4 linked regions of the Arabidopsis thaliana genome follow. The protein of the gene in region 2 interacts with the protein of the main gene of each other region in a pairwise test. Each region holds a gene or a part of one and is shown on either strand. Other genes may lie near its edges. The genes, in order: WRKY43, LBD25, AT5G24050 and AT3G57800.

Region 1 (3,988 bases), on a different chromosome or scaffold from region 2:
TTTTCTAAAGTTTATGGCGCTGTCGGTTCTATATATTTTGGTACCTCTTTTAAGGATGATAAATACCTTAATTGCCGGAGCGTGACATTTTTGATTTTTCTTTGGTTGTTGGAAAAGGAATAATATAATAATTTTTCCATCATTAGAAAAGGAATAAGATCCTTTTTTTAGAGCATCATGGTCATAACGTGCGTTCTTACTTCTTTGCTCGTCCGAAAAAAAGATGAAACATGTTTATTATAGAATATACTACAATTATATTTTGTATATTATGACTTTTAAATTAGCAATATGTTTTAACTTTTAAGCAATATCCTAAAAAATTAATTATTAGTTGTTTTACTATTATGACCAATTATTTTTAATAGATTTTAACATTATCAAAACTTAAACTTTAAAGATATTTAACAACTACATGTTGAGTAGTACTACTTTCTAAACATTAATTTTTGGTAAATAATCCCAAGAAGATGAAAATATAAGAGATTATTTTATCTTCCTAAAATTAGTCAAAACATATATATTTTATAATTTTAAAGATTATTTGAGATTTAGAGGTATACATACTTACCTTCCCATTGATTGCATTTGCTTAAGTTGAAAAGTGGATTTATATATGGAAGAAGAAAAAAAATATGAAAATGTAGTTTTTTTGTTTCTTCTTTTAATTCGGCAATCCATATTTATTAGTACACTTTGTGGCTTCAACTTCGCCAAGACTTGTTCGCTTCTTATTTTCGGTGACTATTTAAGGATGCTGATCAAAACTTGAAAGCAATTCATGTAATATATCGGAACTGACTTCGTACATGTGACATGTCTCATTGACATTGTTCATCGTGTAAATAAACAAAACAATAATCACTCACGATAAGCCAATAGGTTTATTCAAACGAAAGGAAACTGATTTGGCTTGAGAAAAATCTATGGAAACCAAATCCGGTTTTATTCAGTTTACCAGACGATATTGCTCTATGCCTCTCTATAATCATCACGTGGTAATCGTTTTACCGGAATATTACAATTGATTTGTTTTTTTATTTTGGTTATATGCTTAAAACTGATTTATAATCAAAACGAGATTGCAACTATGAACATGCAAACATATATGATTACAATGCTTTAATTTGCTCCGTTATATGAACCATGGAACATTAGACCATCTCCACCAGTAAAAATAAAGAAAGTTTCTCAAAAACATATTAATTAATATTTTAATCAAAACAGATACATTAATTATTATTTAATAGTTGAACTAATAGTGTGATTACACCTGTCCAATCATCCGAGAAATTTAACTCTCCTTCTCTCCTACTTTTTCTCCCTTCTCTCATATTTTTTTTTTAATTTTTTTTCTTTTGTTAGGTATCTCATTGAGATACTTCCATTGGAGATGCTCTTAGAACGTTAATATATATACAAACATAATTAGGTGAACTTAGAGAGGAACTGCAATTGATGAAGAAGAGGAGTTAGGGTTTGCATGAGCTCCTCACAAGGATGGTTATGGATTCCTTCATAAGTTGTCTCCACAATGCTCGTCTCCTTCGACAGCCTCTGAACTTGCTTCTTCACGTTACACATGTGTTGTGTGCATCTATAATAGCTCCTTTTGATGATCATAAGTGAGAAGAAACACACAAAAAAACAATCTTTTTAAAAACAATTTCAGATTATTTATGTTAAAAAGTTTACCTGGGATACAAGCTGTTCTTGACGGATTTCTGACCGTACTTTCTCCATCGATAACCATCATCGAGAATATCTGCATCACTCTTTGTGCGAAACGAAAATCGCGGATTTTTCATCTTCTTATCTCGAGAAGAGTCGACGAGGCCATTCATTAATGAAGAGGAGATATGATGAATCAACGAATTGTGTGTTAGAATTCTTCGTGTGATTTATATTGAAGAGATATATAAAAAGGTTTAGAAGCCAACTACATTCAACTACTTCAGACCAACAACAACAAAAAATTCCTTCACGTCATCTCACACGTGTGTGACTTAAAAAACAGAGACATGGTTTGGTCTTTACTTGAACTCCTGGAAACTGTAAACAGTAGAATCCGGTTTTGGTATCACAATGCGCAATCTCATAAAAAAGAACCGAAGCTACGATCTTAAAGGAGCTCGTGCAGAACCCTCGGATGCTCTCCAACTCCAAGAGAGTTCCAACTAGTAACCGCGATCTCAATCTCTACATTTCTCTATCTAAACCCAGAAACGGAAAAATAAAAAAGGAATCGCCTTTGGAACAGAAGTTCAATAAGATCGAAACAGAGACTGGGTTAGGCTAGAGCCTAGAGAGAAACAGAGACTGGGTTAACATAACCAGACTGAACCAAAATCCGGTTTAATATAGTAAAGATATTTTAAAACTATCTCCGTTGCCGGGACTCGAACCCGGGTCTCTCGGGTGAGAGCCGAGTATCCTGACCAGCTAGACTACAACGGATCTTGTTGATTTCGTTAAAATATTGAATTTATAGTTAAGCTATCACAATTCCTAACAGTGTCATTGCTATGCTTGATTTGTGTGTGAAACCCAGAACTGAATCGCCACTTGCCAGAATCTAAACAGCGTCCTCACTCACTAGGAATTGAATCTTCTTAAAAGTAAAATTCCTTGTTCTTGTAAACACAGACACAGTCACAGATAAGAGGGTTTCTTCATCTTCACAACAATGGCGTCCTCACTCACTAGGAATTGCTCTCGCTTCTCAAAAGCCATCTCTGTCCGTTTCATGAGTAACCTACCGGAAAACACCGTCTACGGAGGACCAAAGCCACAAAACCCAAACCAAAGAGTGACGCTAACGCATCTCAGACAAAAACACCGGAGAGGAGAACCGATCACCGTCGTAACTGCCTACGATTACCCATCCGCCGTTCATTTAGACACAGCTGGTATCGATGTTTGTCTTGTCGGTGACTCAGCTTCCATGGTTGTTCATGGTCACGACACAACACTTCCTATCTCCTTAGACGAGATGCTTGTTCATTGTCGTGCCGTTGCTCGAGGCGCTAAACGACCTCTCCTAGTTGGTGACTTGCCATTTGGTACCTACGAGTCAAGCTCTAGTCAGGTAATGTTATAAAATTGAATCTTTTTTTCTTCTAGATACCTAAATTAAACATATTTGTTGATAAGGCATGTTCTTCTGCTTAATTTTTGTGTAGGTAATTAGATTCTTGATTGCAATTTCAATACCTGAATTAATCACAACACTCAGTGGGACTTACAATGTTCAATTCATTTCCTGATCAAATGTTTAGGTGATTGGATTCTTGATAAAAAAAGTCTTAAATGATACATTATGTGTCAATGTGTCATTGCCTGTGTAATCACAGATTTAGCTTTAGTACTTGCTTATGCAAAGTAGATTCTTTACAAGATTTTGTGTCAATGAAACAAATTAGGGACCTGATTTTGGGTTTAAATGTTGGCTTCAGGCGGTTGATACTGCGGTTAGGGTTTTGAAGGAAGGAGGAATGGATGCGATTAAGCTCGAAGGAGGATCAGCTTCTAGGATCACTGCTGCAAAAGCTATAGTTGAAGCAGGAATTGCGGTTATTGGTCATGTGGGTCTAACCCCTCAGGCGATTAGCGTTCTTGGTGGTTTCAGACCCCAAGGCAGAAACATAGCTAGTGCTGTTAAAGTTGTTGAGACTGCAATGGCTTTACAAGAAGCTGGATGTTTTTCGGTTGTTTTGGAATGCGTTCCACCTCCTGTAGCTGCTGCTGCAACTTCTGCCCTCAAGATACCAACCATTGGCATTGGGGCTGGACCTTTCTGCAGTGGACAGGTTTTATTTGAAAAGTTTCGTTCTTTCCGGTTTTGTGTGTAGCCAAGAGACAAATTTGCATTTCTCATACCTGTTAATTGTTTTCTTGGAAATGCAGGTGCTAGTTTACCATGATCTTCTTGGTATGATGCAACATCCACATCATGCCAAGGTAAAATCCTGACACAATTATTGTTTTC
Region 2 (5,568 bases):
ACGAAATAATTTCAAAAAATAAGTGGTAAAAAGTAGTACTAGTACAAAAGTAATAGTGTTACTGGTTTTGGCATCACTAATTTTTATTATTAACAATAAAATGATTAGGATAAAACAATCGGGTTATATATGAGTTTTGTTTAGTTATTTGCTACTTGACTTGTATTTAAAAGTATATAAATTATATTAATTATTACTTGTATCGACAAGGATATAGACTTGTTTTTCAAAACAGATATGAGGCAAATAATGGATACAGGATCGAGTAACAAATAATCGTGCTTAGCCCTACCCGAAACTATACCGTATCTTAAGATACATGAATAATTGAGCTTTTGGTTTAACTTATTATTAGGGTATCATCATACTCAATCTTAAAAAACTATAAGCAATCTTACTCATCAAAAAGAAAAGTTCCATTTGTTATTTTCTTCTTTTGACAAGATTAGTTGATTTGTATGTAAATATATGTGGTTGTTAGTTCGCCCCAAATGACATAAAATTATAAAAGGACCGACTTTAAAAAGAGATTCCCTATGAAGACATGTGCCTAAATTAAAGCTACAAAATTTTGGTGTTTCTAAATTGATTAATTTATTTAAACTTTTTTCAAGTCGACAAATATATAAAATCACTCAATTAACTTAAAATATTAGCAACTTTGTGTTTCTGACCAGTGACTAGTGTGTGTAATCAAACAACCAATTATTAGCCTACATTCCTATGAGTCTATACAAAACCGTCGACATGAAATTTTATTCTTTTGAATATCATAATACAATAGTAATATTGCAATCACAATTCGTTGAATGCAACTTTATAAAATGCTAGAAAATCTGTCATTAATCAATGAAATATGTGTACATACATAATTTAGAACATAAATCTTTTAGCAGAAACTAAAAAACTTGTGAATAATGACCAATGGGCCACATGTAAATCAGTGGAGCTAGATCAAGTTAAAGAGAGTTATGGAGATATGAGCATGAGCAAGATCTAGTTATTCAACATCATCAAAAATATTCCTTGACCTCTCCCATGAAAAAAAAATTACAAGTTAAATTACACATACGCATAAGTATATACATGAAAATAAACATAAATATACATGCATGCATGTCCCCATATTTACACATATATACATACGACTAATAACACTTACCATCACATCAACCATCCTCTCTCTCTTTATACTTCTCCGCCGCTAATTTTCTCAAAGAGTGATGATGACTAATCAACTCTCGTTGACCAGTCAACCCCTCCGACCACCATAAGCCGACGTCGTTTCACCACCGAGACAACCAGCGTACCTCATGAGATCAGCATTTGTCTCCTCGAGTTCCCTTTGCAACCTCAAGACCTGTCTTTGGAGCACCGAGATCGCTCCAACGCAGCCATACACTGGATCTTTAAGTCGTGCTTCCGCCTCGTAAGCCAGCGAGTTGACCGCATCTTCCCGCTGATGGGGAGCCACTTCGTGGAGGATCTTGCTCACATTGCTTGCCCCGAATATCCGGTGGACGTTCGCAAACTTTGTAGGTTCCTCCGGCGGAAAATAGGGTGCGAATACGCAGTCTGACGTGCATTTACGCCGGAGGAATTTGCATGCTGCACACGGTGAGTTTGTGTAGTTCGACATATATATCCCCTGATTTTTCAGTTGCAAAAAAATGGCAAAAACGATTTAATCACATCATAGTATCTTATTAGTAATTCTCGAAACTACAGTATAAGATTGATATGAATTTTGATCCATATCGATCGATATTGTAATTCTCTGGAGTCTCTTCTTCTTCTATATACATCAATTATCAATATCTTATCAACAATATGTCTACGTACACTTTTTAAAAATTGATACAGTTTCAAATGTTTTATTTCCATTTTGAATTTGGTAACTAGCAAAGTAGCAATAAAATGGTATCATCATCAATACAATATAACTTACAAGACGTATGATGTTCTTAGTCTTTTAATCCTCAAAATTCATTATATTCTACGTAAAATGGTAACTAGAAATAATAGTCTCATCATCAATATAACTTAGAAGACGTATGATGCATGTTCCTATCTTATTATCCTTAAAATTCATTATTCATAGTGTTCTTTCTGCGTCAAAAAGATGTTATACCACCTAAATTTATATTTCAAATATATCTCAAACAAATATATACATCCTTGTCTAATGAATTAATTTTACATAATTATAAAATCTTGGGAAATTGAGAATAATCCATACTAAAAAGTTATTGGTGAATCTAACACACAAGACGATTATGGGAAATTATATAAACTTGTGTAACATTACACATTAAAATGTAAACGTCCATATGATATTCATAGTAATATGAAGAAAATGGGTGTCGGAAATTCGAATTACTCACACAGGTTTTACGTTTTAGAGCTAGTATTAGTTCTAAACAAACAAACAACATGTTCTCATCAAAGCACTCTCTGTCTCTCTGACTCTGAGTTCCCCACATGTACTACATATTAGTTTGAATCTTGAATTTATGACCGAGTTTTATTACCTGCTATATAGGATACTTTCACTGTATATTAGAAGTCCCGAATTCCTGATTTCACTTTCAATTGTAACTTCTTCTTTCTTTTGTAAAGAAAAAAGGTCGTCCAAATTATAACTTGGTAGTTCAAGACCAGTGATCAAATTTTCATGATCTAAACTCTCTAAATTTATATAATCAATCAACATATATAGAAAGTATATATATTATGCAAGTGTGAGTGAATTGGCTGTACAGAATGAAAAACTCTTGGTCTTACCTTTAAATGGATCGCAACAAGAAAAGGTCCTTCCTTGATAACTTCTTGAGAAGGTTTGATCTTCTTTGTTTCTCTCTTGGGCATTAATTATAAGAAAGGAGAATGAAAAATCTTCAAGTAGATTTTGCAATTATTGGGATATTTTTGTTGTTTTCAGAGAGGAAACCCTAGTTTGAGAGAAAGAGGAATCTCTCTAAGGGGAAAGTTAGAGAGATAAAGAGGAGACATGGGTTGGATATAGAGAGAGAGGGGCAAAAGGCATTTTTGGTGCGATGAGAAAGAGAAAGAAGATGAATATAATGAGATTACAAAAAGACAAATTGGCCTCAATTAATTGAGGACCTAAAATAGTGAACTTAAGAAAGAATAACTCTGACCGTGGCAAATTTTACTCCATTCAATTGCTTTTAGTAAATAACTAAATATACAACATATTTTCTATCTTATTTTTAATTTTGACAGCATAACGTATTTTCTATTAAATTTTAAAAAACTAATTTATAATTTTTGTCAACTAATTTATTAAAAAGAAAAAAATTAAACGAGCCATTAGTATATAATATTGTTTATATATGTGATATGATACGGTTCAGTAAGTATGTAAAATATAAAAGCGATAATTTGTCATGAAAAAATACTCTTTTATTATGTAACTTAAGAATATATGAGATAATTTAACAATGAAAGAAAATCAAATGATAGTAAACCAATACTTTCATGTATTTAAATTAAGGTACAGCCATATACCCTCAGGAGTCCGAACCATTTTATAAAGAAACTAATGATAAACCTTAATTAGTAAGCTATTAGTATTATTTATTTAAAACTAATGATAAACCTTAATTAGTAAGCTATTAGTATTATTTATTTACCTTTGACCTTTCCACGTTTTATTATTCCGTAAAAAAAAAATGTTTGTGAAGTCTTTGGACCACTTAAATATATTGTTTAAACTAAATTTCAGAAAGTTTTGGGATACAAACTTACAAGAACATCAGAACTATTGAGGATCTGAGCAAATCCGACATGTGTACTGTCATTTTGCTTGATTGAATTTAACTGTTAACGTCTTGATTTTACTGTTTACATTTCTGAAAAATAGTTATTAACTTTTACGTTCTTTTAATTAGTTGATGTGTTCATTCAAAAAATTTGACATACCCTGATGGTTGAGCCACATGCTTGAATCCAAAAAAAAAAAAAAGTTTCTATAGTGCATAACAAAGAAAAGAAAAAACTGTAATCAATTTCTATTTAAAATTATACCGTCATTTTCAACGAATATAGATACCATTCACAAAAAAGGTTGTTGTTTGTTGGATAACTCTTGTGGTTGTATTATAGATCTTATATTTCCTATAATTAAAATATTTAGCGACTTAGCATAGTATTGGTCAGCTACAACTTTAATCATCCAACGAAATTAAGACCTAAAAGATATACCAAACAAAGTAGTTGATATATAATTATATATCCTTTCTAATCCAAGTGCACTTACAAAATTAAAATGATATATATAAGTGATGATGATACCAAGGCATTATTGTTTCCATAAACATATATATGCTTCATATTCCATATAAGTGCAATATTTGGTAGCAAGTGCGTATATAGATTATACCAATGATTAGATAAGATAATCAATCATTGGCAAGCATTATTTTACGTATTTCTTGTAACGATACTTTACGTATTTCCTGATTAGATTTCAGTGTATACAGATATGCTTCATATAGTATGTGTACAAAGAAAGTATAAAAATAATAGAAAATTGAAAGAAAAAGTGAAGAAAATATGAAAAGAGAAGGACCAATTCAGATCGGAAAAGAAGAAGCACTTGAATACGCATGCATACAAATATCCCTATACGGCTATACATAAATATATAAGATCAGGCCTGGCGAATGAAAATGTATGTCTCTTATCGTGTATATAAAATAAGCTAATGTGGGTCGACCAAAAAAAGCCAAGACGTCCAAGAAACGAAGAAGCCAAGATAGTGTGTGTGCTAATTAATTATGTATCCATTTTAGAAGAATTCATGTATATGCATAATGCATCATGTATGTATCATGCATGCACCTAGAAGTCCTATAACTAGAAGTCGGTATACTTTAATTATCAATTGGACAATTGGGATAACAAAACCTGGTAAGTTCTCTATATACATATATAAACTTTATAAATAAATAAATAAATGGTTTAAATGTAAGTATAGCGTATACGAATAATGAAAATTAAAAGTGATGTTATACGTTAAATTTTTCGAACTAAAAATTTTCGATAATTATTTTGAAAGGAAATTTGACAATAGCTTAAATCCTAGAGAAAATTGCATGGTTGTTACAACAAAATTTATACAGGATATGATCGATTAACTAACGAATGAATCCTATTAATTGCGATTACTTTTGAGATTAATTTATACCTAGCTTGATCTCAAGTTTGTATCAACCCATAAAACCAAATGTACTTTTGTGATTTAGTTATCATAGGTTGGGGTTTTGTGGATTGGTTGTTGACGAAATGTATAATACAGAAAAATGTCGACGGAATGATTGCAAGTCAAGTGTGATATGTCCTCAACAATCATTACATAAGCACAATTATTTGATCAAAATTTATTTAGAAATAATGCACCTCTTCTCTTCTTTTGTTTTTGGCTACACACCTCCTTTCATTTCACCAAAAAAACACACACACCCTTTCTTACTTTATTTTTGTTAAACACCTATTTTCTTATTACATTATACATATACATCGAACCCAATATATACGATTAGT
Region 3 (4,356 bases), on a different chromosome or scaffold from region 2:
ATTTGAGGAGAAATTCGAATGAGTGTATGATTATAGAGATCATTTTTTTTTTGTTTTTGCTTTCAAATTGCCTAACGGTTTTTTCAAAATCCGAAAATAACCAACACTTGATTGGTGTATTTTAAATAATCTATATGGATTTTTTTTTTTAATATGGATTTTCGAAACTATAATTCACCTAGGATTTGTATTTTTGTATTGTAGTTTCAGAATTTCTACATTAATCATAAACTGACAAGATCCTAGACAAGAAAACGAGATCTTATAGATGTGCGGAAGCGAAACGTTGTGTTTGCTATTAAGGCTGAGAAAATCGAGCTAATCAACGTCCAAGTACGGTGTACTTATTCAAGTGGCTGAAGAAGCAATTGTAGCAAAACCTGTCTTGGCAACAAATTTGGTTCCTGATTTGATCATTTTGCTCTTCATACTTGAGTTTCAAAATCAGATTCTTACTGAGTAGAACAAAACACAGGTTTTGATTGTATCGAGCATTTCTAATGAATGTATTAAAAACACTTTTATTGATTGGATCAATTTCATTAGACAAAATAAGACTTGGAGATATATTACAAGGAATCGAAAGGTAACAATGCAGTAACTAAAGTAGACCAAACAACAAACAAGATTCATGTCAAAAATGCTAAGTTTTCATACTATAGTACATACGGTTATAATGATCTGAAACAATATATGGAACAAGTTACTAATAAGGAACACTAATTTTCTTAATCAAACTCTTAGACAAAAAAGAAGTCCAGAATCTCCTGAAATTAGATCGCTGTGCGTGTTGATCAATCAAGTTATAGTCTCAACCGACACAAGAAACTTAGCAGAGACAGAGAGCAAGGGAAGAGCTACTCTGTTCCATGGCAAAGCAGAGGATTCCACAGCACCTAAACGACCAAAGAGTAATGTTGTCGCCTTCTTTCAATCTGTTAGCCTCAACGATGTCGTTCCACCCACAAATCAAATTGTAACTCCAGCTTCCTTTACCTGATTCCTTCTTCATCTCCCATCTCTTTAACATCACACCCCACTTTTTACACCGTTGATCCACGAGAATCGCTCCCACTCCAATCTTGTTATTGTTGTTGATGTCTTCGTTTATGATTATGGACTCCACAGACGTCAGGAAATCGTTTCGGAGTAAGTTGTTGAAAGGCATTGAGAGACGGTTCTTTGTTGGGTTTACATCAGTCACGAACAGAGTCTTCTCAAAGATCAATTTAGCGTCTTTGGCTTCTTTCATGTTTGTCATCACCTTGACAAGCCACTCAGGTGTCTCTCTCGCCGTTTGTGAAAAAGGAGCAACATTTGCTTTCTTGACTCCACCACTACGCTTCCTTTGTTCCACAGCACGTCTCTTGCGGCTTGTGTTCTCCATTAGGCACAAAGACATAGTACATGGGAAATTAGGGTTTGGTGGGTCTTTCGTCTCCGTCTTTTGGTACTCAGCCGTCTTGTGACCAAAGAGTCCGAGTGAAGAACAAGGTTCTGAACTAGGGTTTTGTAATGTTTTTGTCTCGGAATTAGCGGCAATGAAACATGAAGAGGATAGCCCTTGAAGATGGTTTTGTGGGTCTTCGATCTCAGAATCGGTAGGGAACTGGTTAAGATCGATAAGCGATGAAGAAGTAGAAACCCTAATAAGATTTTGTTGTCTCTTCACCAAAGACGATCTTGTTTTTCTCGGGAAGAGACAAAAGATTCTCTTCTGGAATTCTTCTTCTTCTTCAGAGACAATCTTACGACGTTGTTCTTCTTCTTCTTCTTCATATAACATAACCGCCGCATCAACCAGTACACAGAAATTCGACCACAGGTCTTTACCTGAAGCCGTGAGATGATCGTCATCATCGTGATAGATACTAGTCATTGTGAATTTTTGATAGAATCGAAAACTCAAGTTCTTCTGAGAGCAAATCGTGAGACACAAGGAAATTAGAGAATCTGAGAGAAACTGAGAATGAGAGAGTCTCTATTGCATTATATAATAATACTTGCGCTCTCTGCTTACATCAAATTTAGGGTTTCCTTTTTTCTTTGAGTTTAGTTGTTTAATTACTGTGATTAGTAACTAATTAGCCGTTGTCTGATTTTATTTTCGTTAATAGCTAACCTTATAATTACGATATAGTCCTTGTCTCGGTATTTCCTTTTTCTAGGTGTGTGAGAGTCTCTCATTCTCACTTTATGAATACAAATGTAATTAAACAACTAAACTAAGATACAATCTTTTGAAGTGGGTTTTATGAATGTAAAAAAGTTATTAGTGACAAAATACAAAAATAAGAGTTACGATAAAGAGATGAGATTTATGTAAAACTATTTGGACAGATCATATATTTATGTATAAATTGGGATAAATTTCAATGCTCTCTTAACCCAGAGACTTGAAGAATTAATAAGGTCTTCTGTATAAATTGTATAAACTATATTAACCCAGAGACTTGAAGAATTAATAAGTCTATTAACCCTTAGACTTGAAGATCATATATTTATGTATAAACAGTGTCAAGAATTAATTGGAAAACAATGAAACAACATGAGACCCCCCCCCCCCCCCCCCACACACACACACACACACCAATCTCCAATAAGCCAACCTTGAAATTGCTTGTCTGACCACAAACGATCTTTAACGTTAGCAGGAGTGTTAGTTCATGTCTGACTGGTGAGGGCACTTTCATTGATACACGAGAAATTGCAGTTTGAATATGTTTCTTGTAGCTACATTATTAAGACTCTAAGATTCCTTTTGATTCGTTTGTTTTGGTTTCTGCGGCTTGGAAGGTGTAGAAGCGAATAATAATTCTCTCAACTGTCCCTCAGCGTTGTGTTCTGATGTTGCCTGCAACACAGAGTTATCAGGCCGCATTAATCTAAGTGATATCGTATGTATTATCATTGTTCACTAATCAGAGTCTAAGAAGATAGAAAACGAAAATCGACATACCCTTATCGAGAATGCAAACCGTAATGTCTCAATTTGCATTCCTGAGCAAATCCTAAGGTCGAAACCAAGTGAATCTATCCCAATGAGCTTCACTTCCTACATTGTAACACCATATGGATATAATCATGATTGTCACAGTATAGTCGTGAAAGCTATACAACAACTTCGTTTTGAAATTCCAGTAATGTAACGTAAAGTTCCAGTTTCTTTACCTCTGCTTGAATCCCATTATTTCTCCAACACAGAGATCTGAGAGCTTCAGTTAGTTTATCGCCATCTTCTTCTAGACGAGTCAGTATACCATCTGATGCACAAGCAATAACATCAGGTTGTGCTTTCCTGACGTCTTCCACTTCCACTTCAGTCTGTTCAAAAGCAAAAATACACAACCAACCAAATGCATGAGCTAAAACTTCCATAGAGCCTTTTAAAGAGTATATATTAAAAAGGGAGAGGCTTTATCGTAACCTGATGCCCCTGTGCCGTGATGAGCTGGATTCTTATTATCTCCAGCTTGTAGTACTGTATAGCATTTCTCGAATTTTCAACATGCAATATCTCAGATTCATTCTCACCAATGCCTTCAAATATCTCTTCTGAGTTTTCTCTCTCCTTGTTTTTGTCAGTGCCTGTAGATATACAACCAGAGATATGTTTTTGGATATCTGAGTGATCTTCCACAATGACAGGACTCAAGAGCCCTTGGATAGCAAGGCCAGCGGACGGCTGATCCATCCAATTTACAGGATCAGTTGAAGCAACCTAAATTTCAATAAAGAAACTAAGTTTTATAGTCTTCACATGGTGGATATTTGATAAATCACAAATCAATTTTTGGACTGCAAGTAACCTCGGCCATCCTCCTGGCAAAATACATAGGATGGCAATATCGCATCGTTTCCAAGTTTGCCCAGTCTCCAAGTGATTCATCAGAGTCTGAGACATAGTTATCCTCGTCATCTCCATCTTCTAGAACAGCAACCCATTCCTGGAGTCAAGAACACAGTATATTGTGAAGCATGCTAAGCATAAGACAGGTTTTTTCCATGTGAAGTTCCTCAATAAGACCACGAAAGCTTTTCAAACCTCGTCATCTTTGTCTTCTCCTTCATCCTCATCGCCCTTGTTTTCATCCTCAACTTCACTTTCACCATCTTCGATTTCTTCAATCCCAAAACCAATACCAGATGGACTGCTCAGCTCCATGTCCTTGATCATCTCCATCGTATCAAAACCTACTATTACTTGCTGCATTGCAAATGTCACTTATCACAGTTATATCTCCATACAAGTGAATAGAGAAAAGAACAAAAGCAACTGTAAAGAAAACACCATGCAGCAGAATCATTTAAACTAAAGAAAAACATATAGACATATACACAAGGATATAAAATAAA
Region 4 (7,197 bases), about 11 Mb from region 2:
CGTTCTTCTTCTCGTCGAATCTGACCACGAACTTCGATCCTTGGCCATCAATCGCTCCTCCGCCAGTGATTCCAACATCCGTAGCGTTATTCGCCACCACCACGTACCAATCCGACGAAGTCTCCGCCGGATAATAATCCTCGATTCTCGGTCCACCGAGAAGCACGGCGTTCTCCGTCACATCGAGAATGACGCCAGATCGGAGATGGAGCTTAGCGGTCAAATAGTTGCCGGAAGGGAAAACGACGCGGCAGATGGAAGAAAAAGATGTGTAGTGACGATTGCAGGCGTCAATGGTTGACTGAATCGCAGAAGTATCGTAGTTGATACCATCGCCGGTAGCACCGAAATCGGTAACGGAGAGGGTCAGAGAATCGCCGGGAAGTTGAATTTTTGAATATGACGTGTCTGAACGTGATTGGACCAGAGAAAAGAATAATAGTAACAATAATATGCTTCCCATCATTTTTTTTTAAAGGTCTTAATAATAATCTTATCCTATGTCTATGTGTGTAGACTTTATTGGAATTGATAAACAACTGAAACTAGAATTCCAGATCTCTTCTATGAGGATCGTAGTGTCTTTACCGAATCCTGGATAGTTTGATGCAGAATAATAAGCTATGAGAGAGTTTGTAAAAACAAAAACAATTAATTAGGCACAATAATAGTGAAATAATACTACAAAAACATCAAAAATTTAAGTAAACATATATGAGCAAATTGATTAAGCAAATTGATTAAGCAAAAGAATTAAAAAGTGAAACTTTCTCTCGTGTAGATTTCGTCTAAGGCGGTTAATTTGTTGAATCTTAGGCTGAGGAAGAGATCGATACCATCTAGTGGCGGGATTGATGATACACATCAATCTTTCTATACGGTAGACGCAAACAAGGCCATCACAGCTTCCGGTAACGTGCTTTGCACTCATATTTATGATTGCATCTCTGTTCTTATCGAATGAGTCAATTTAGGGTTTTTTGTTACCTAACCTAAACCATAATTCAAGAGGTGCATTTTCACTTGGTCCAGCTCAAACAATCTAAACATATAGTTGCATTTTGTTTTTGCTTCTTCTTTTTCGTGCAACTCCAATATCCAAAGGATGCCCCTGCTTCTTCTTTCTGTTTTTGTTTATCGATACTGATTTATTTCCCTAAATAGAATTTTTTTATCTCTATTTATTATTAGTAAGATATATATAACGAGATCAAAATGATCATATCCTACTAAATTCTACATTGTCGAAATCTGGTACAAGAATAAGAAACAATCATACCAGTGTTGTCTCTCTGAATCAAATGACTGATACCTTCTTAACAGATATCTATATTTATGATTATATTTATATAGAGAGAAACGAGCTTATACGATGTATATACACATTCATGATCTCTACCGTTTTCCCAACTTACAGCTCCATTTTGACCTGATTTGGGTGCAAATTAGCAGAAGCCACCATTACATTTTCAGAAACTGCCATCAAATTGCTGTTATCATTGCCATGAGCTTGATCCTCTTCTCTTCCCCATACCGGCTGGTTCAAGCCGTCAAAAGGCCATTGTTGTGTTGGTGGTTGTTGCAGTTGCCGGTGATGAAAGGACTGTTCGGTCTCAATGGCTTGCTGAGGCCAAGCAAGCTGCATTGGTGCGGCATTGAAGCTCCCATCCATTAAAGAACCGTTCTGTCAAAGAAAAAAACACAGAGCCAAAACCGGAAAAGATATCAGCAAAGGGATCATTCATAGAGATCTTGATCTAGTCAAAGAAGTCAACTGTTGTTGCTGTGTTATTATTATCCTAAAAGAACAAGGTTTGATGAGAGGGTCCCTGGCTATTTAATGGTGGTACAAGCTGTAAGAAGAAAGAGAGAGGGAGCATTTATTTAGTTTGGTCCAAAACTTTTGATGAGAATCCACAGGTGATCATGAAATTAGATAGGTCACTTTGAAATAACAAGATTTTGGAAGAGACCCACAGAAATTATTGAGGGATGAATTAACTTTTTTTTTAAAAGGTTCATCAAGTAACACATCCGACATAAGTCACAGAAGACACAGAAAGGTTTTACAGAACAAAGGTGGTCCGAGTTTTGACCCACTACTGTTATTTGCATTGGGTGTGTGTGTGTGTTGTGTATTTATTTTTCCCTGAGTTTCCTTCATGAGAGTAGACGTTGTGATCTTCCTATGCCTTACACTAAAATGGTCTAAATTAATGTTTGTATCAATAAATACCCCAAAAGTTTCTCCTTTTGTGATAGAAACTAGAAGCTACTCAAAGAGGTATGGTTAACTTAAATGAGAAACACATGAAATGGTTAAATTTTTCCTAGAGAAGACTAATCAGAATGACCAAATTATTGTTTGAGATTTTGATACTTACTTCTGAAGCCAATATGGTGTCGAGATTGAAGTCGATTCTGGGGTTTACCGCAGCAAGTCTCATTGATAGCATCTGTGGAAACACAAGTCACAGTTTCATGAGATTGCGGCACATAATTCTATTCATTTTCAAATTGTTTTGAGTTGACCCTTTTATTGTGCCCAGGGCTATTGTAAAATATAGGTATAAAGAACAAAAATTGGACCACGGAAAGTCTCACCTCCACTTGACGTTGTAATGACTGGACATGGTTAATGATTTCATCCAGCACCAGCGCGGTACCTTGAATCTGCAGGTCAAAGACTTTCTGATAAGCTCGGATTCATATTAGGTAGATCTGCTTTCACATACCAAAAATTCTTTCTAGACAGCTAACTATTGTTAAGATGATCCAATATTTCAACGAGAAAATACCAAGATTCCAAAATACACAGTGAAAAAAGCAGCAAGAGAATGACGTGCTAATCTAAAGCTATTATAATAAATGGTATCTACTACAATCACAAGTAATCAGTATACCCTAGGGGGGCTAAAGGAACAATCAATCAAGTCCTCACAGCTCACCTATAGAATCCAAATTTTAAACAAACACTGATGTTCCATATCATCATCTCTATCACACCAATAATTGCTGCTAACTTCTAACATCAGGGATGATTAATTAGCTGTCTGGGGGAGTGTCACATCATGTTTCCAACTAATTAGGTATGTGGGACTCAAAGCATATCAATTTTTGTAAAGGATCATTTGCTTTAATCGTCCTTCTAAGAGTCATTTTCTATTTTTCCTTGATAGATACCGAACTTGTTAGAGACGATACTACCCCTTCCTCACCTTCCATAGAAAGATTGCAACTTTTTTCCCACTTATCATCAAAAGATGGACCCCAAAACACACTTTGATCTTGATCTTTCCACCAAAATCTGTCCCCTAAACCCAAAACCTTAATGGCATATTACAGCTAGCACACTTCCTAAGGTCATTCTCGTCATTTATAGACTAATCTTCAAGCTCAACGAACACACTTATGGAAAAAGAATTCGATAAAGCAAGGTCCTATCACTTCCGTGTGACTGAGTTAACCTTAAAGCTAAGTGTGTACCCGTGAGATATTTCTCCCCACACGAAATAAAAAAATAAAGTTGAGATCTCTAAAGGCATTACTACACAATTACCCAACTGGCTACTTTGGCACACCAGGAACCACTTTTCTTAATAAAAAAGCAATTAAGCAATCCACTTTTTAGGAAGAAAAAAAAAAGTAGGTGTGAAGGATTAAGACCCTTAACAAAAAGACTAGATCATCTAATAATAAATTCTTACTTTTGGAGTGAATCAATTAGAGAAATATAATGTCGTTAATCACAAATGAAGACCTAATGATTGATTAACAAATTGATTACACGTCTATATCTAAGAGACAAACCTTATCACAGCCTGGGACCAGTTCCTGTAACAGCTTCATTCGTGCATTTATCTTCTCTCTTCTTGCCTATAATCCAAAAATTAGTGATCAATTAGCGAATTAATCAACTGATTAATACCAAAAAAAAGAAAAATTAGTGAAGGCAGATGCAAGTTACTCGTTCTGCTAAGCTATGGCTATCGGTTGCTTGACCACGACGAGCTCTAACGTGAACATATGGCAGCTTCTCGTTCTCTTCAGAGCTTTTGTTCTTCTTCGTCGAGCTTTTACCCTATAAAAAATCAATCTGATGAAACGAAGGATCAAATGTAAAAAAGTAAAAACATTTGTCTCTCACTCTAACCTTCTTTTCGAAATCTTTCCTCTTCCCATTTCGATTGTTCTGGTTAGGGCAAGGGATTTGATTCTCAATCGCTGAATCAGAAATCAACCGCTGAGATGAATCGGTCTCAGCAGGCTCCGTCTTGACTCTGTCGAGATTAGCACTTGAATTGGAAGGTACAGAGCTCGTCGGAGTCTCCCCGGAGATATTTCCGTTTTGTTGCTCAGTGGCAATCACCGAGAAACGAGCTGCTCGCTCCATGAGAACTGAGTTAGAAGGAAAAGCCAATGTCCCACCGAAAGAGTGAAGCGGCGGAGGAATCTCTCCACCGATCCCTGTCACTGCCGCTTGTTGAGAAGACGAAGAATCAGTGAAATGGAGAAGCTCCACTGCTTGTGTAGGTGGAAGCTCAAGCAAAGCCGTGAACGAACCGCCGGGGTTCTCGGGAGGTAAAGTCGTCACTAGTTGCCGAAATTCGTCACCGAGATGTAGCGATTCAAGGCCTATTGGTTCCCGGCACGGTCCAACACCGCCGGATCTAGCTCCAAATCCTCCAGTCAGATCCATAAACGGAAACTCACTGGAAATCTTCGAAAACAATAACACCAATAATCGAAACCAAATTCAGCAATTTGTGTAATCAAATCTCACGACAACAAAACCCTAATTGAGCCTCCAAAGAGAGCGAGAGAGAGACTTGAGTAGAAGACTTTTGTCAGTAAGCGAGTAAAATGCGGCGAAAAATAGAAAGGAGAGAAGGTGGGCAACAATGGCGGTCTGAAGAAATCCCTCCTTCTTCTATAGCTCAGAGAACTTGGCGAAGAAGGAATAGTTATTCTCTCTTCTTCTTCGTCTTCTTTCTCAAATGTGTGTGGAAGAAAAGCTTTTACACCAGAAGAAGAGTAGGACGAAAGCAACGTTAGCAGTGGAGTGCGTCTGTTAAATAAAGGCCACTGTTAGACAAAAGAAAGAGAAAACCAATTTTGGTTATTGTAGGTACGGTACGGTTCTTTTGTTATATATTTTGCTGGATCCCAATGGATATTACTTGGGCCTTTTGGGCTTTAACCGGTGACTTTTTATCTCTGATTATAAACTTTTTTTATCACTCCTTAATTTTGTAATTAGTAAATTTTTGAAGTATTTTGATACTATAATATAAAAATGATTTGAATAGGGCGTACCAGAAAACGGCACATATTTATTTAATCGAATCGGTAGATTAGATTTATTCTTCAGCAGGACCAGCCTGCTGTCTCTGACCACTTTTCTTTTTTTCTCGGTATAATAATTGGATTTTCGTATAGTATTATTATCAGTAGTTAATGCCATAAATGGTGTTACATCAGGTTTTCTGACTTTCCACGGACTCCGATTCCGGTGTCAAATTATTTTGTTGACCTGTAAATAACCAAGAACCAAAAACACTTTTTAATATGGAAAAATAATTGAGCTCAAAACACCATTTTAGTAATTATCTCAGCCGTTGGATGAAATCTACCAAGCGTAATATTAATTTTTTAAAAATATTTTATTTTTTTTATTTTTTAAAAATATTCAAAATTCATCAAGTATTAAAAACTTTAGAGTATAAAAGGCAAAAATAAAATAAAAATTGAGACGTACTAATAATATTAATTCAAAATATCTTATAAATTTATTAAAAGGAAAAAAAAAAACAATTAATGTTACTTCTTTAAAAGGGTGTTTTGGGGATAGAGAGGAAAATTTGAGGACAAAGATGAACAGATGGGTCCAGTGGAATAACCTGTTTCACACAATGGGCCGAACAGGAAATCCACTTATGCTCTAATAATCTGAGCCCAAATCCCAATTTCCATTTCATTGCAACAAATCATCGTTGCTTGATTATTTTGATTAGCCAATTTCTTCTTCATGTAAGTAAATCTCAAAACTGAAATTTAGTAAAAAGGTGTAGAAGTGGAATATAAATGTGCTAAAATATCGGTTTCACTTTCAGCGATTGGTGATGTAAGGTTTGGTGTAGTAGTAAAGTCTCAATCAAAGAGAGGAAAGGTACAATCTTTTTTTGGCATTTCCAATTTGGCAACGTTACTTACTCTCCCAACGTCCATTACTTCTTTGGTGTCTCAGATATTGATGTGGCCAATTCTTTAACCAACCTAATTCCTACGTACATATGTGTTACTCTTTCACATATATACACTTTATTCTAAATATAAAGATTTTGAAGCTATACGGCTCTTTTCTGTTTTTATTCAATTAGATGTCAAAATGAGTATGAAACATGCAAAGTCTTTATCAATAAGAAACATTCTAATTATGCAAAGTCTTTGCCATTATAAACGCAGTTCAATTTTAGATGATTTATCTTTATAAAATTTGTTCCCGAGCACAGTCTCGAACTCATATGAGACTAAAGTTTTTAATATTCACACATAAAACCTTTATAAAAAATTAAAGAGATATATTTTCTTTTATTGCTGAGAAAGCTGTGAGGATTATCTTCACAATACTTACGGCATCTCCAACACATCTCTATTTTTGTCTCTACACTCTATTTTTGCTTTTATTACACTCCAACTCATCTCTATTCTCACTTCCATTATAGAGATCTCTATTTTTTTCTCTATATATAGAAACAAAAATATGGATCTCTATTTTTTTCCCCTATTTTTCTTTCTAACAAATAGAGATTTCTATTTTTGAAGAATTATTGGAGTAAAAATAGAAATCTCTATTTTCTCTTCTATATTTACAAAAAAAAAATAGAGACAACCATTGCAGATGGTCTTATTAACGTATCACATTGGGATCATGATGGATTTAAAAGGATAGATATGGGCGAGACCACAAAGATTTTTCGGATGTATACGTGAAGCATGAAAAAAAAAAATGTGCGATGAATAAAGAAATATGTTTAGAAAATATTATAGATAATTCGTTTATATATGAGTGGGTCTGGATCCGCGTGTTAATCACGTGACACTGGCCCAAGAAGCCTCTCTTCGTAGTGGAGTGGTGTGGGAATTCCCTTCTTCCCATATTAAAATGTTTCGATGAATAAATGAATAGCTCTCTCT

The links.
Region 1: the proteins of LBD25 (region 2) and WRKY43 interact in a two-hybrid assay, tested with the Arabidopsis thaliana proteins (one large-scale study listed by BioGRID).
Region 3: the proteins of LBD25 (region 2) and AT5G24050 interact in a two-hybrid assay, tested with the Arabidopsis thaliana proteins (one large-scale study listed by BioGRID).
Region 4: the proteins of LBD25 (region 2) and AT3G57800 interact in a two-hybrid assay, tested with the Arabidopsis thaliana proteins (one large-scale study listed by BioGRID).

The regions. Positions count from the first base shown.
Region 1 is NC_003071.7:18,955,110-18,959,097, reverse strand, and holds WRKY43 (WRKY DNA-binding protein 43), read right to left. Parts: upstream 1,887-3,988; 5' UTR 1,845-1,886; coding exon 1,696-1,844; intron 1,610-1,695; coding exon 1,429-1,609; 3' UTR 1,173-1,428; downstream 1-1,172. Other genes in the region: KPHMT1 (ketopantoate hydroxymethyltransferase 1), read left to right, coding at 2,687-3,088, 3,456-3,809, 3,907-3,960. UniProt on the Arabidopsis thaliana protein: Transcription factor. Interacts specifically with the W box (5'-(T)TGAC[CT]-3'), a frequently occurring elicitor-responsive cis-acting element.
Region 2 is NC_003074.8:10,236,031-10,241,598, reverse strand, and holds LBD25 (LOB domain-containing protein 25), read right to left. Parts: upstream 3,086-5,568; 5' UTR 2,869-3,085; coding exon 2,785-2,868; intron 1,649-2,784; coding exon 1,253-1,648; 3' UTR 951-1,252; downstream 1-950.
Region 3 is NC_003076.8:8,127,524-8,131,879, forward strand, and holds AT5G24050 (plant-specific B3-DNA-binding domain protein (DUF313)), read right to left. Parts: upstream 1,880-4,356; coding exon 830-1,879; downstream 1-829. Other genes in the region: AT5G24060 (Pentatricopeptide repeat (PPR) superfamily protein), read right to left, coding at 2,750-2,854, 2,960-3,055, 3,172-3,324, 3,428-3,721, 3,810-3,947, 4,046-4,207.
Region 4 is NC_003074.8:21,406,623-21,413,819, forward strand, and holds AT3G57800 (basic helix-loop-helix (bHLH) DNA-binding superfamily protein), read right to left. Parts: upstream 4,991-7,197; 5' UTR 4,700-4,990; coding exon 4,154-4,699; intron 4,082-4,153; coding exon 3,968-4,081; intron 3,877-3,967; coding exon 3,811-3,876; intron 3,315-3,810; coding exon 3,219-3,314; intron 2,949-3,218; coding exon 2,904-2,948; intron 2,674-2,903; coding exon 2,605-2,673; intron 2,457-2,604; coding exon 2,385-2,456; intron 1,974-2,384; exon of another isoform or gene 1,779-1,973; intron 1,685-1,778; coding exon 1,412-1,684; 3' UTR 1,167-1,411; downstream 1-1,166. Other genes in the region: AT3G57790 (Pectin lyase-like superfamily protein), read right to left, coding at 1-466.